Linked DNA regions of Sus scrofa. The protein of the gene in region 3 purifies or fractionates together with the protein of the main gene of each other region. This does not show direct contact. Links are inferred from orthologs where the notes say so. Each region holds a gene or a part of one and is shown on either strand. Other genes may lie near its edges. The genes, in order: OTUB1, CD44 and SLC7A11.

Evidence for each region.
Region 1: the proteins of SLC7A11 (region 3) and OTUB1 purify together in Homo sapiens (affinity purification with western blotting; 5 studies listed by BioGRID, with this or other methods). This does not show direct contact. The link is inferred for Sus scrofa from reciprocal best matches to the Homo sapiens genes SLC7A11 and OTUB1.
Region 2: the proteins of SLC7A11 (region 3) and CD44 purify together in Homo sapiens (affinity purification with western blotting; 3 studies listed by BioGRID and IntAct, with this or other methods). This does not show direct contact. The link is inferred for Sus scrofa from reciprocal best matches to the Homo sapiens genes SLC7A11 and CD44.

Annotation. Positions count from the first base shown.
Region 1 is NC_010444.4:8,088,008-8,090,427, reverse strand, and holds the end of OTUB1 (ubiquitin thioesterase OTUB1), read left to right. Parts: intron 1-729; coding exon 730-848; intron 849-1,037; coding exon 1,038-1,122; intron 1,123-1,218; coding exon 1,219-1,413; intron 1,414-1,544; coding exon 1,545-1,742; 3' UTR 1,743-1,900; downstream 1,901-2,420. UniProt on the Homo sapiens protein: Hydrolase that can specifically remove 'Lys-48'-linked conjugated ubiquitin from proteins and plays an important regulatory role at the level of protein turnover by preventing degradation.
Region 2 is NC_010444.4:25,814,527-25,818,182, reverse strand, and holds part of CD44 (CD44 antigen), read left to right. Parts: coding exon 1-35; intron 36-1,795; coding exon 1,796-1,902; intron 1,903-2,778; coding exon 2,779-2,985; intron 2,986-3,656. UniProt on the Homo sapiens protein: Cell-surface receptor that plays a role in cell-cell interactions, cell adhesion and migration, helping them to sense and respond to changes in the tissue microenvironment.
Region 3 is NC_010450.4:88,611,048-88,614,703, forward strand, and holds part of SLC7A11 (cystine/glutamate transporter), read left to right. Parts: intron 1-1,340; coding exon 1,341-1,467; intron 1,468-3,656. UniProt on the Homo sapiens protein: Heterodimer with SLC3A2, that functions as an antiporter by mediating the exchange of extracellular anionic L-cystine and intracellular L-glutamate across the cellular plasma membrane.

The DNA.
Region 1 (2,420 bases), on a different chromosome or scaffold from region 3:
GGTCTGAACCTGTAGGGAGGGCGGCGACCCCCTGGAACAGTGTCCCTGGAACAGTGTCTCATCCCAGGGAGGCGTGGCCTCAGACCCTCCCAGGGCCCAGAGTGAAGGCCATGGGCAGGTGTGCCGTGGGGGCTGGGGTTCTCAGGGGAAGTCTTCAGTCCAAAAGGAAGCAAGGTCAAGGTGGGTGGGGGTTTGAAGAGAACAGAAAAGGTATGAGATGGGTGTCGGGGAGAAGGGGAGGGCGCCTAGGCTGAGGGAGTGAGGCCTTGACTCCTACAGGGAGGTTCAACAGACAGAGAAGAAATTTCACTGAGTTTGGGGAGGGAACCAGAAAAGATGGAGCCAGTGCCTGAGGGTGGGCGGGGTAGAGCTTAGAAGGAGGTGAGGGAGGCTGTGTCCAGCCCCAGGCTGTGCCATGGGCACCACGCTGCCCTGGAGCTCTCCAAGTGTGAAAGGTCCTTCCCTGGAAAAGCTGCTTTGATCAAGGACTCAGTCACTTGCCCAGCCGCTGGTGACCCGTGCAACCTATGTGTCCAGAAGTCAGTTTCCTGAGGCTTTGGGGGCTCCTGGTAGCATCACCAGAGTCAGCAGCCAAGGATGGCAGGTGGCTGCTTGGAGCTTAGTTGCCACCTGCTGTAGAGCAACCTCGTCAGGGCGGTTTCCTCGGCCCGCCCTGGCTCTGGCCTGATGTTGATGGGCCCGGGTGGGGCGGGGGCTGCCTCTCCGCAGGACCTCCACAAAAAGTACTCGTACATCCGCAAGACCAGGCCTGATGGAAACTGCTTCTATCGTGCTTTCGGTTTCTCCCACTTGGAGGCGTTGCTGGATGACAGCAAGGAGCTGCAGCGGTGAGGAGGGCGGGCCCTCGAGCACAAAGAGGCGGGTGGGGCAGGGTCCTAGGAAGGGCCCGAGGGGCTCCCTCCATCCTCCTGGGGACCAGGAGGTGCGGTTCCCGTGCTGCCCGGGCCCCCACCTCTGAGCTGGCCTCTCTGCTGGCCGAGGAGCCCGCGCAGCCTCTCTTTCCCTCCCGGCTGCAGGTTCAAGGCTGTGTCTGCTAAGAGCAAAGAGGACCTGGTGTCCCAGGGCTTCACCGAATTCACAATTGAGGATTTCCACAACACGGTGAGCCTCTCGGCCGGGTGGAGGGCGGGGGGCCTGGCCGAGGCAGCATCGGCCCATCTCCTCCCTCACTTGCTCTCTGTCCCCCTTGGGCGGCAGTTCATGGACCTAATCGAGCAGGTGGAGAAGCAGACCTCAGTGGCCGACCTGCTGGCCTCCTTCAACGACCAGAGCACCTCGGACTACCTGGTGGTCTACCTGCGGCTGCTCACCTCGGGCTACCTGCAGCGCGAGAGCAAGTTCTTCGAGCACTTCATCGAGGGTGGGCGGACCGTCAAGGAGTTCTGCCAGCAGGTGCTGCCCCCTCCCCGCTCCCCAGACTCACTGGGGCCTCAGGGTGGGAGCCTCGGGGCCCGGGGGTGCACCGGGTGGCTGGGGGTGCGGAGGCGCCAAGACCCAGGCCCTGAGCGGCCCCTGTGCTGCAGGAGGTGGAGCCCATGTGCAAGGAGAGCGACCACATCCACATCATCGCGCTGGCCCAGGCGCTCAGCGTCTCCATCCAGGTGGAGTACATGGACCGCGGCGAGGGCGGCACCACCAACCCCCACATCTTCCCCGAGGGCTCCGAGCCCAAGGTCTACCTTCTCTACCGGCCTGGACACTACGACATCCTCTACAAATAGGGCTGGCCCGGCCTGCCGCCGCCCTGCCTGCCCTCCCCTCTGCCAGGCACTAGACATGTACAGAGGTTTTTTTTGTGGTTGTAAATGGTCGTACTTCACCCCCCACGCCCTTCCCTGTCACACGACCTTCCATGTTTTATTAAAGGGGACGCTGGTGGTGAGCCGCGTGTGTGCGTGTCCCTGCTCTGCTGCTGCCCTCCTGGCTGCTCTCTGTCTGGCTGCCCCACCCCCCTCAGGTGGCTTCCTCTCAGCCTTCCACCTGTCCACCCCCAAGCCTCCCCGCCAGGAGTAGTTTTGAGGGGGCTAGGCCTCTTGGGGACCCCTCCTGGTTATTGGGCCTCTGCTTCCTTCCCTTCAGGCCTCTGCCCCTGCCCTCCTTAGCCAGCCAGGCCTTCCAGGGGAATTTGGAAGTTCCTTGGAGACTGGCCCAGAGCCCCAGGACCACCAAGGCTTCCAGCTCTGCCCTCATAGGCCACGCCTCCGCCCTGCTGCCCTGGCCTCCCCGGCCACCTGCTCTCCATCAGGGGTCTGCATGGTGGAGAGGGCTGGCCTGAGGGTGCGGCCTGGCTCAGGGTAGGCGGAGGAGCTGGGCCACCCTAGTGCACCCCAGGTGCTGCCCTCCGGGCGGGGGAGGGCTGTCCTCAAGTCTGTCCTTCCCGGAGTCTAGCGGGGCTGGCC
Region 2 (3,656 bases), on a different chromosome or scaffold from region 3:
GGTTTGGTGGAAGACTTGGACAGGACAGGACCCTTTCAGTGACAGCTCGTAAGGATAACAGCCTTCAGTCTCCCTCTTGACCTGTCTTCCTGCTTCAGCTCTTGCTCTCATTGGTGGCGGGATGGCCCACGCGGTGCGGTGTGGCTTGGCTTGTAAAAGCTGAGGCCGTAAAAGCCATCTTCATTGTGTGTTCTTGGTGGTTCTTTAAATCTGACCATCCCTTCCTCTTGGTGCTTTCCAGATTCCATGACTTCATGTTAACACACAAATAAAAAGGCTGTGGGGCTCCATTCCTCTTGATTTTCCTTCTCTGAGTAGTTATGTCCGTGAAATCCACGACCACGGTGAGGACAGTGGGTTCTCTATGGTTTAACGGACCATCTCCTTTTGATTCCCATCTCTCCTCGAGGCTGAAGAGAGGTAGGATTGTCTCGATGGTCGTAAAAAGCTGTCTGGGGGCCAGATAATCGTGAGAGTAGGGAAATCATCACCCAGAGAAGCAAGTCATGCTGACAGGTGACCTAAGCGGCAGGCCTGGGAGCAAAAGAAGAACACGGGCTCATGTCTCTCCCTATTACTAAATATATGGTAGAAACAATGTGAAACTTCCAGTAGATTTACTGTCCACTCTAACTACAGATACAGCTATCCTAGAGATCACCATCATTCATACTTTCTTGACAGAGATGAAAGAAATCTAGAATGAAGAGGGCCTCCTTTCACTGCTAGCTGCCTGTAATGGGCAGAGGTTTTTTTCCTGTGAGCCCTTTGAGACAAAGGGAAAAATCAGGAAGCGTGTCTTGATTGTCAGGAATGTAAACAGCATAGTGTTAAGCATTAGAGGAGATGCAGAGAAGCTTAAATATGGTCCCCGCCGATGGAGGGGCTTGTATTCTTACTTTATGTCCCTGTTGATGTTTGTTCTGATGTTGGGTTTGGTGTTGGGTGAATGTCTTTCTCCCGTTGTAGCATTCACTTGGTGGTGGACCTGGCGGCGTGGTGTGCCCTATGGAATACTTGCACCTGTAACTCAGAGGTCAGTACCTTTCTTAGAGGAACGCTCAAGAAATGAACTCAAAGCAGTCAGAGCCATTTCGGACATGGGCAAGGGTTCAACCTGAAATGGATAACCTATCAGTGAGGGCCCTGCGTTTGCCCAGACAAGCATCTCCTGGCGTTTCAGGGCCGTGATGAGAATCCTCATCCAGAGATGAGATCAAAAGCCTAAAACTTGAGCACCATGGTAACTGAAGTTCATGTTCTTTGAAGCGACTTAAGTGTTTCCTTCTATAAATTTGATCTGAGTTACTTGAGCAGGTTATTCTACATGAACGTCTTCCTCTTTTGTGGCTACAAGTGTTCTACCTGCTGTGATGGTGTTTATTTTCGCTACACTCACACTTCCTGACACACAGCTAAGGTGCTCTTGACGTTGGTGGGAACACTGGATCCAAACGTTCCTTTCTCTATCTCTGTGTGTTGTCTGGTTTTCTGGAATAACAGGAAGCAGTGCTATCACTGGGCCAGGATGATCCGGTGGTGGGGGGGGAAACAAAGTTTTGGCTGTGATTTCACCTTGGCCCTCTATCTTGTTGATTATACTGGAAGACAAAGCCAGTTGGGGGCAAGGCAGAATATCCTGGTGCGTTTCTGTCAATCAATCAAGGAGGATGGTGTACACAAACTTTGGTATTCCTGTGTATCTACCCATGACCAGACTCTAGCTAAATTTCCCCCACCCCCATCAGCAGATAACAGAGGGTTTATTTCATGGCTTCAAATTAATACTGGATTCATCCTTTACTGAAACAGAGCAGAGTGATACTCAGAGCTCTTCTACATCACATGGAGGCTTGGAAGAAGACAAAGACCATCCAGTGGCTGCTACTCCAACATCTAGCAGTAAGGACTGTAAAGCCCAGGTGGCTTCAGCTATTGAAAAAAAAATCAATAAACTCGGTGCTTTTGCAGTGTCTTTGGTGGAGTTATATCAGCTGGCTGTTGTTAAGCTGTTCCTTATGATCAGAAGGTGTGGCTGGTGATGGTTCTCTGCCTTCTTTGCTTTGTAGATCTCATAGAAGCCTCTGTGCATTAAGTACAAACTTAATTTTTTAAATGTTTTTAAGGTTGGGTTTCTCAAACTCTAGAGTTAGTGTCTTCATTTAAAAATAACGAATCACTTATATATGATTTATAATTGGGGAAAAGATCTGAATGATATCACTTATTTTCCTTCCATTCGTATTATTTTGCCATTTATCCTCTGGGCCATAAATCCATAGTGCTGGTGACTAGGAAGCAGTGCCCTCTGGCAAAGGAGAGAATAATCGAAGGCTCATGTCTTTGAAGCTTTGCATTTGCTTCCAATGGCAGGTAGCAAAATTTTGCCTTTCAATTCAGTAACGTACGTGTTTCTTCCACTTCATCAAAGGTGGATCCAGCTGATAATAGTCAAGATTATCTAGTACCTGCATTGACGTTAAAGTAACAGTTCTGGTGGCATAAACCTTATTTTAATAAACCCAGGCAGGTGTTGCACCAAATGTCTCTTCTGAGTATTAGGATCACCAAAATCTCTTCCATTGAGTGATACCCAGTTGGTGTTGATTGCAAAATATCGATTCTGTTCAGTAGTGTAGCAAACTGCACTGCTCACCGCTCCGTGTTCACGAAGAACAAGTGGAAAGCTTTTGCAGCAATTGCACATTCTGAAAACCAGCACATGATGGGTAGTGGTCTTACGGGTGTGGGTTTACCATTGATTCCACCTCCGCACAGATAGGAATGATGGCAGAAGTGGAAGAAGAGGTGGAAGTCTTCCTGAAGACTCAGCTACGTCCGTGGAAGGTTATACTCTTCATTCTCCAGACACAAATGAATATAGAACCCTCATCCTGGTGACCCCTACCAAGACTGGGTCCCCTGGAGTTACTGAAGTTACTATTGTTGGAGATTCCACCTCTAATGTTGATCTTTCCTCATCAGGTAATTTGGCCGTTTGTTATCTGGTTTGCTTTCTAGAGGGAGAAGCAACACATACTTTCATACTTAGGGATCACTTCTGTGTAGGCTACGATGAGATGGATTTGTGACATGGGGATGGTTTTTATCACACATCATCATTCTAGTGCAAGTCAACATTTATTTTAAATAATGTTTTTATGTGCCCATGTAATCTCTGTTTTTTGTGACTTGGTTGTTATGGTAGAGTTTCTTTCTTTTTCTTGTTCCTGATCTTGTGACATATTTAGTGAACCATATGAAACGGATATTTTTGTGAGTAAAAGTAGTCCAGTATTAGCAATTCCATTTGATTCAACTAATATATGCTGCCTATGTAGCAGGGTTTTACCCATCTTGTGAATAATTTCTGTATACTGATGTCTTTGCTCTGAAATTATTCTCTTTTATTGGTGATGGATTGGTGAATTTTACTTTTGGTGAAGGGCTGGTGGGTAACTTCTTCTAGTTATGGTGCACACTTAAAACTTGATGATTTAGTCTACTGTTAATGAGCAGGCACCATTTCTCTTGTGATGGCAAAGAGATGACCAAAAATGACTTATTCAATTAAGTTAGGCATGCACCCAGCATGAGCATGTAATTCTTTTCCCTCTCAAATAAGCAATCTTCCGGAGTTTCCGTCGTGGCTCGGC
Region 3 (3,656 bases):
ACTAGACAAACTGTATCGGTGATCTGCAAATATCAATCTGTAGGCTAGTTACTCTAGAATTAGCTGTGCAAATTTTAAAATATTGGACCTACTTGGATGCCTCTACTGGAGACTCTGGTCTCTCTTGGTTAGAGAGTAGTTCTGGGATATGGCCTTAGCATTTGTTCTTATTTTAAATAAAAGTCCTCCCAGGTGATTCAGATACAGTACTAGTTTTAAGAATAGGATAAATAACAGTAAGATTTTGTGGAATATCCAAAATATATTAATGTTGGACTGTTCTACCTGAAGCTTTACTGATTAGTAATAATTTGCCACACTTTTAGTCTCCAAAGTAGCTAAGGCAGAAATTAGGTCTTACATTTAAGTACTTAGCAGTATGGATAGAACTTTTCACATAACATCAAGATATATTTTCCATTTTCTTTATAATTGCTCACATCAATACGTATTGCTATATTTCATGAGGTGTTTTCTGTGTGTCAGGCCCAGGTACTGTCCTTGGCACATATTTTCATATTTATACATACAAACCTCTAATGAGGTAATAATTATGATCTTTAATTTTATAGATGATGAACCTGAGGTTTTGGGAGGTTATGTAACTTGCTCAAGTCCATGTGAATTTTATTGCTAAATGTTAATATTTGATCTGTAGTTAATTTTACCTAATGTACATTAATGTTATAGCTCTTCTTTTTAAAGAGGTTTTTATGTTATTTCAACCACCCAGAGTATATTCTTCAAAAACATCCAGGAAAAACTTTCCTAAAAGTAGAATATCTGAGTTAAAATTCATTTTGTTGACAAGCAAAACATATCCCACAAATGAAGTAAAGCCTTACAAGGCCTTGAGTCCATACTTTTCTGGAAAGCAGATAAATCTTACTTATTTTGATGTACCCCAGAAATATCATTTATTAAAAGGAATCTTAATAGAATGAAGTCCTTTTGGGATAATTCCTTGTCTTGATGTGAAGTTATGTTCTTCAAAAAATATGTTAGTATTTTTGGCATTTGTCTTCACTTTTTCCCTTGTTCCCAGGTTCGAGATTGAAAAGTCTTCATAATATGATATTGTTTTAGAAGTTTGTCTTTGCTATTTTAAGTAAAATTACATTGTTTGAGTAGAATGAACTAGATCTCAAATGTGAGGAAGTTAACAAGATGAATTTGGAGACTCTTTGGAATTGGATGACTGCTATTTATTTTGAAAAAGGATGTTATTCAGACCAAAGGTGTAGTAGCATTTCACACAACATAAACGTTGAATGCATTCTACTTCTGGATGACTTGGTAATATTTTAACTTTGCGTCTTTTTATTATAAATATTTCACAGGAGCCTTGTCCTATGCTGAGTTGGGAACAAGCATAAAGAAATCTGGTGGTCACTACACATATATTCTGGAAGTTTTCGGACCATTACCAGCTTTTGTGCGAGTCTGGGTAGAACTGCTCATAATACGGTAAGAACCTAGATAGAAAGCATTAAGGAAAAATAAACTTACTCATTATATGCTGTTTTGAATCACCTTGATTATTTCATGTAATTAGAAATATGCATGTCATGTGACTATGTGGTAAGCACATCTACTTTCAGACATAAAATCTGTAATGAAATACCTTTCTCAAGGTTTTTATTTCATGCAGTTTTGCCACTGGCAGTAGTTTGCTACCTATGCCAAACTTTTAAAGCATCTACTCTGTGTTAGTATTCAGTTATTCTCTATGACATTTTCAGGAAAGATGTTGACCTGAAAAGAATGTGAAGCATCAAAATCTGCCTTGATAAATCAGACATTTTGTTTGATTATAAATCATAATTAGACAAAATTAAGTGTTATGCTAGGAACTGGGGTTTTTCTTCTTGTACATTACACTATTAAGTCGTTTTAGTTTACTCACGTTGCATGACTAGGAAACTTCTGTTCCTCACCACTTAGTATGTCACTAACTTTTATATTACGGAAAAAAACAAAACTTCACTTGTCATAAATGACTCATATCCTCACGTTAAACAAACCAGTGAACTATAGTAGCGAAAAGCTTTGATTTTATTGTTGTAAAAATATGTTCCTCTTCCTGATTGTCTTGGTTTAAAATCAAACCAAATAATGCTAAGTCACTCTGAATAGCACATTTCCTCCAACTTTGTGGGAAACTTATGATGTCACATGAGAAGTTTGGCGTATCCTTAAGGCAAACAGCTTCCATGAAATGTGCCTAGCACATTCTGATTACAGAGTTTAACAAAAGTAACTAGAGAAACTTGCTCTTACTGTAAACTTATCAGACCTACACAGTTGAGAGCTCCTGTGAGCTTTTATCCTGTCATTTGGACTAAGTGGCTAATGCAGAGCTAATAAGTATTGACTTAACACTAATCTTGGTTTTTATAGCCCTAGGAGTCTCTTTTTTAGCAAAGAGTTTAGAAAAGTATTTACTTCTTTGTTAAGTCTGTTCTCATCTTAAACAATTGTGCATTATTTAAAACGTATTATAATGAGATAATTATAAAGAGCTATTTTGTTCCTTTTCTAAAATCTCAGATTTGCTTGGGATGTGTCTTCCACTCCTTACTAATAATCCGAATATTACTCTTCAAAGGTCAATTTAAATTCTATCTTTTCCACCATTAATTACCTGTTCACTCTAGTTTATAGTATTTCTTTCCTCTCTTAATTATTCTGAAAAAATGCAGTCTCTGCTTCTCATTTGGCACTGAACATGGTATCTTATATTCTTACTTTAATATTTTAGGAATCTGTGCCATTTCCCTGTTAAAACTGCAAGGATTTCAAGTACTTTTTGTAACCCTTATACTACTTATTTCAGTGCCCTGATTGTCAAATATTAAACTCTTTTTGAATAAGTGACTGAAAGATTAAGGTTGTAATATGCTGAATACAACATGCTCAGCTTTCAAATGAATATGCTACTTATTTAGAGTGCTGGCCTGTGAGGAGGGCAGGCTTTGGAGCCTGACTCAAACTGGACTTGAGTCCCTCTTCAGTCATGTATTGGCTCATTGTATTGGCTAATTAGCCAAACTTTGGTCTTATGATGACCATTATCCTTCCTTTTGCAATAGTAGCACCAATACAGTGTTCATTCATTTATTCATTCATTCTACAAACTGCTACTGAATGATTTACACCAAGTTAAAGAGATTTATGGTGGAGTGAGCTACGGTTCCTATTCTCAAGTAGTTCATAATCAAATGCTACTTTAATCACAAGAGAGCTACTTCACAGAGTGTATATGTGTTTACAGAAGAAATTACCCAGGTGTATTCTGGAAGCTTTTTTAGTGGGTTCATATATTTCTTTGTAATATTGGACTCACATTACTTAGTTGGTCTTTCACATGGGCAAAGTAATGAATGACTTGAGGGGTAACAAGATACCTTGGTACTTTAATATTTCTCTTCCGTTGAAAACACCCATGGTCAGAGTTCCCGTCATGGCTCAGTGGTTAACAAATCTGACTAGGAACCATGAGGTTGTGGGTTTGATCCCTGGCCTTGCTCAGTGGGTTAAGAATCCGGTGTTGCCGTGAGCTGTGGTGTAGGTTGCAAACGCGGCTTGGATCCCGAGTTGCTGTGGCTGTGGTATAGGCTGGCAGCTACAGCTCCGATTCCACTCCTAGCCTGGGA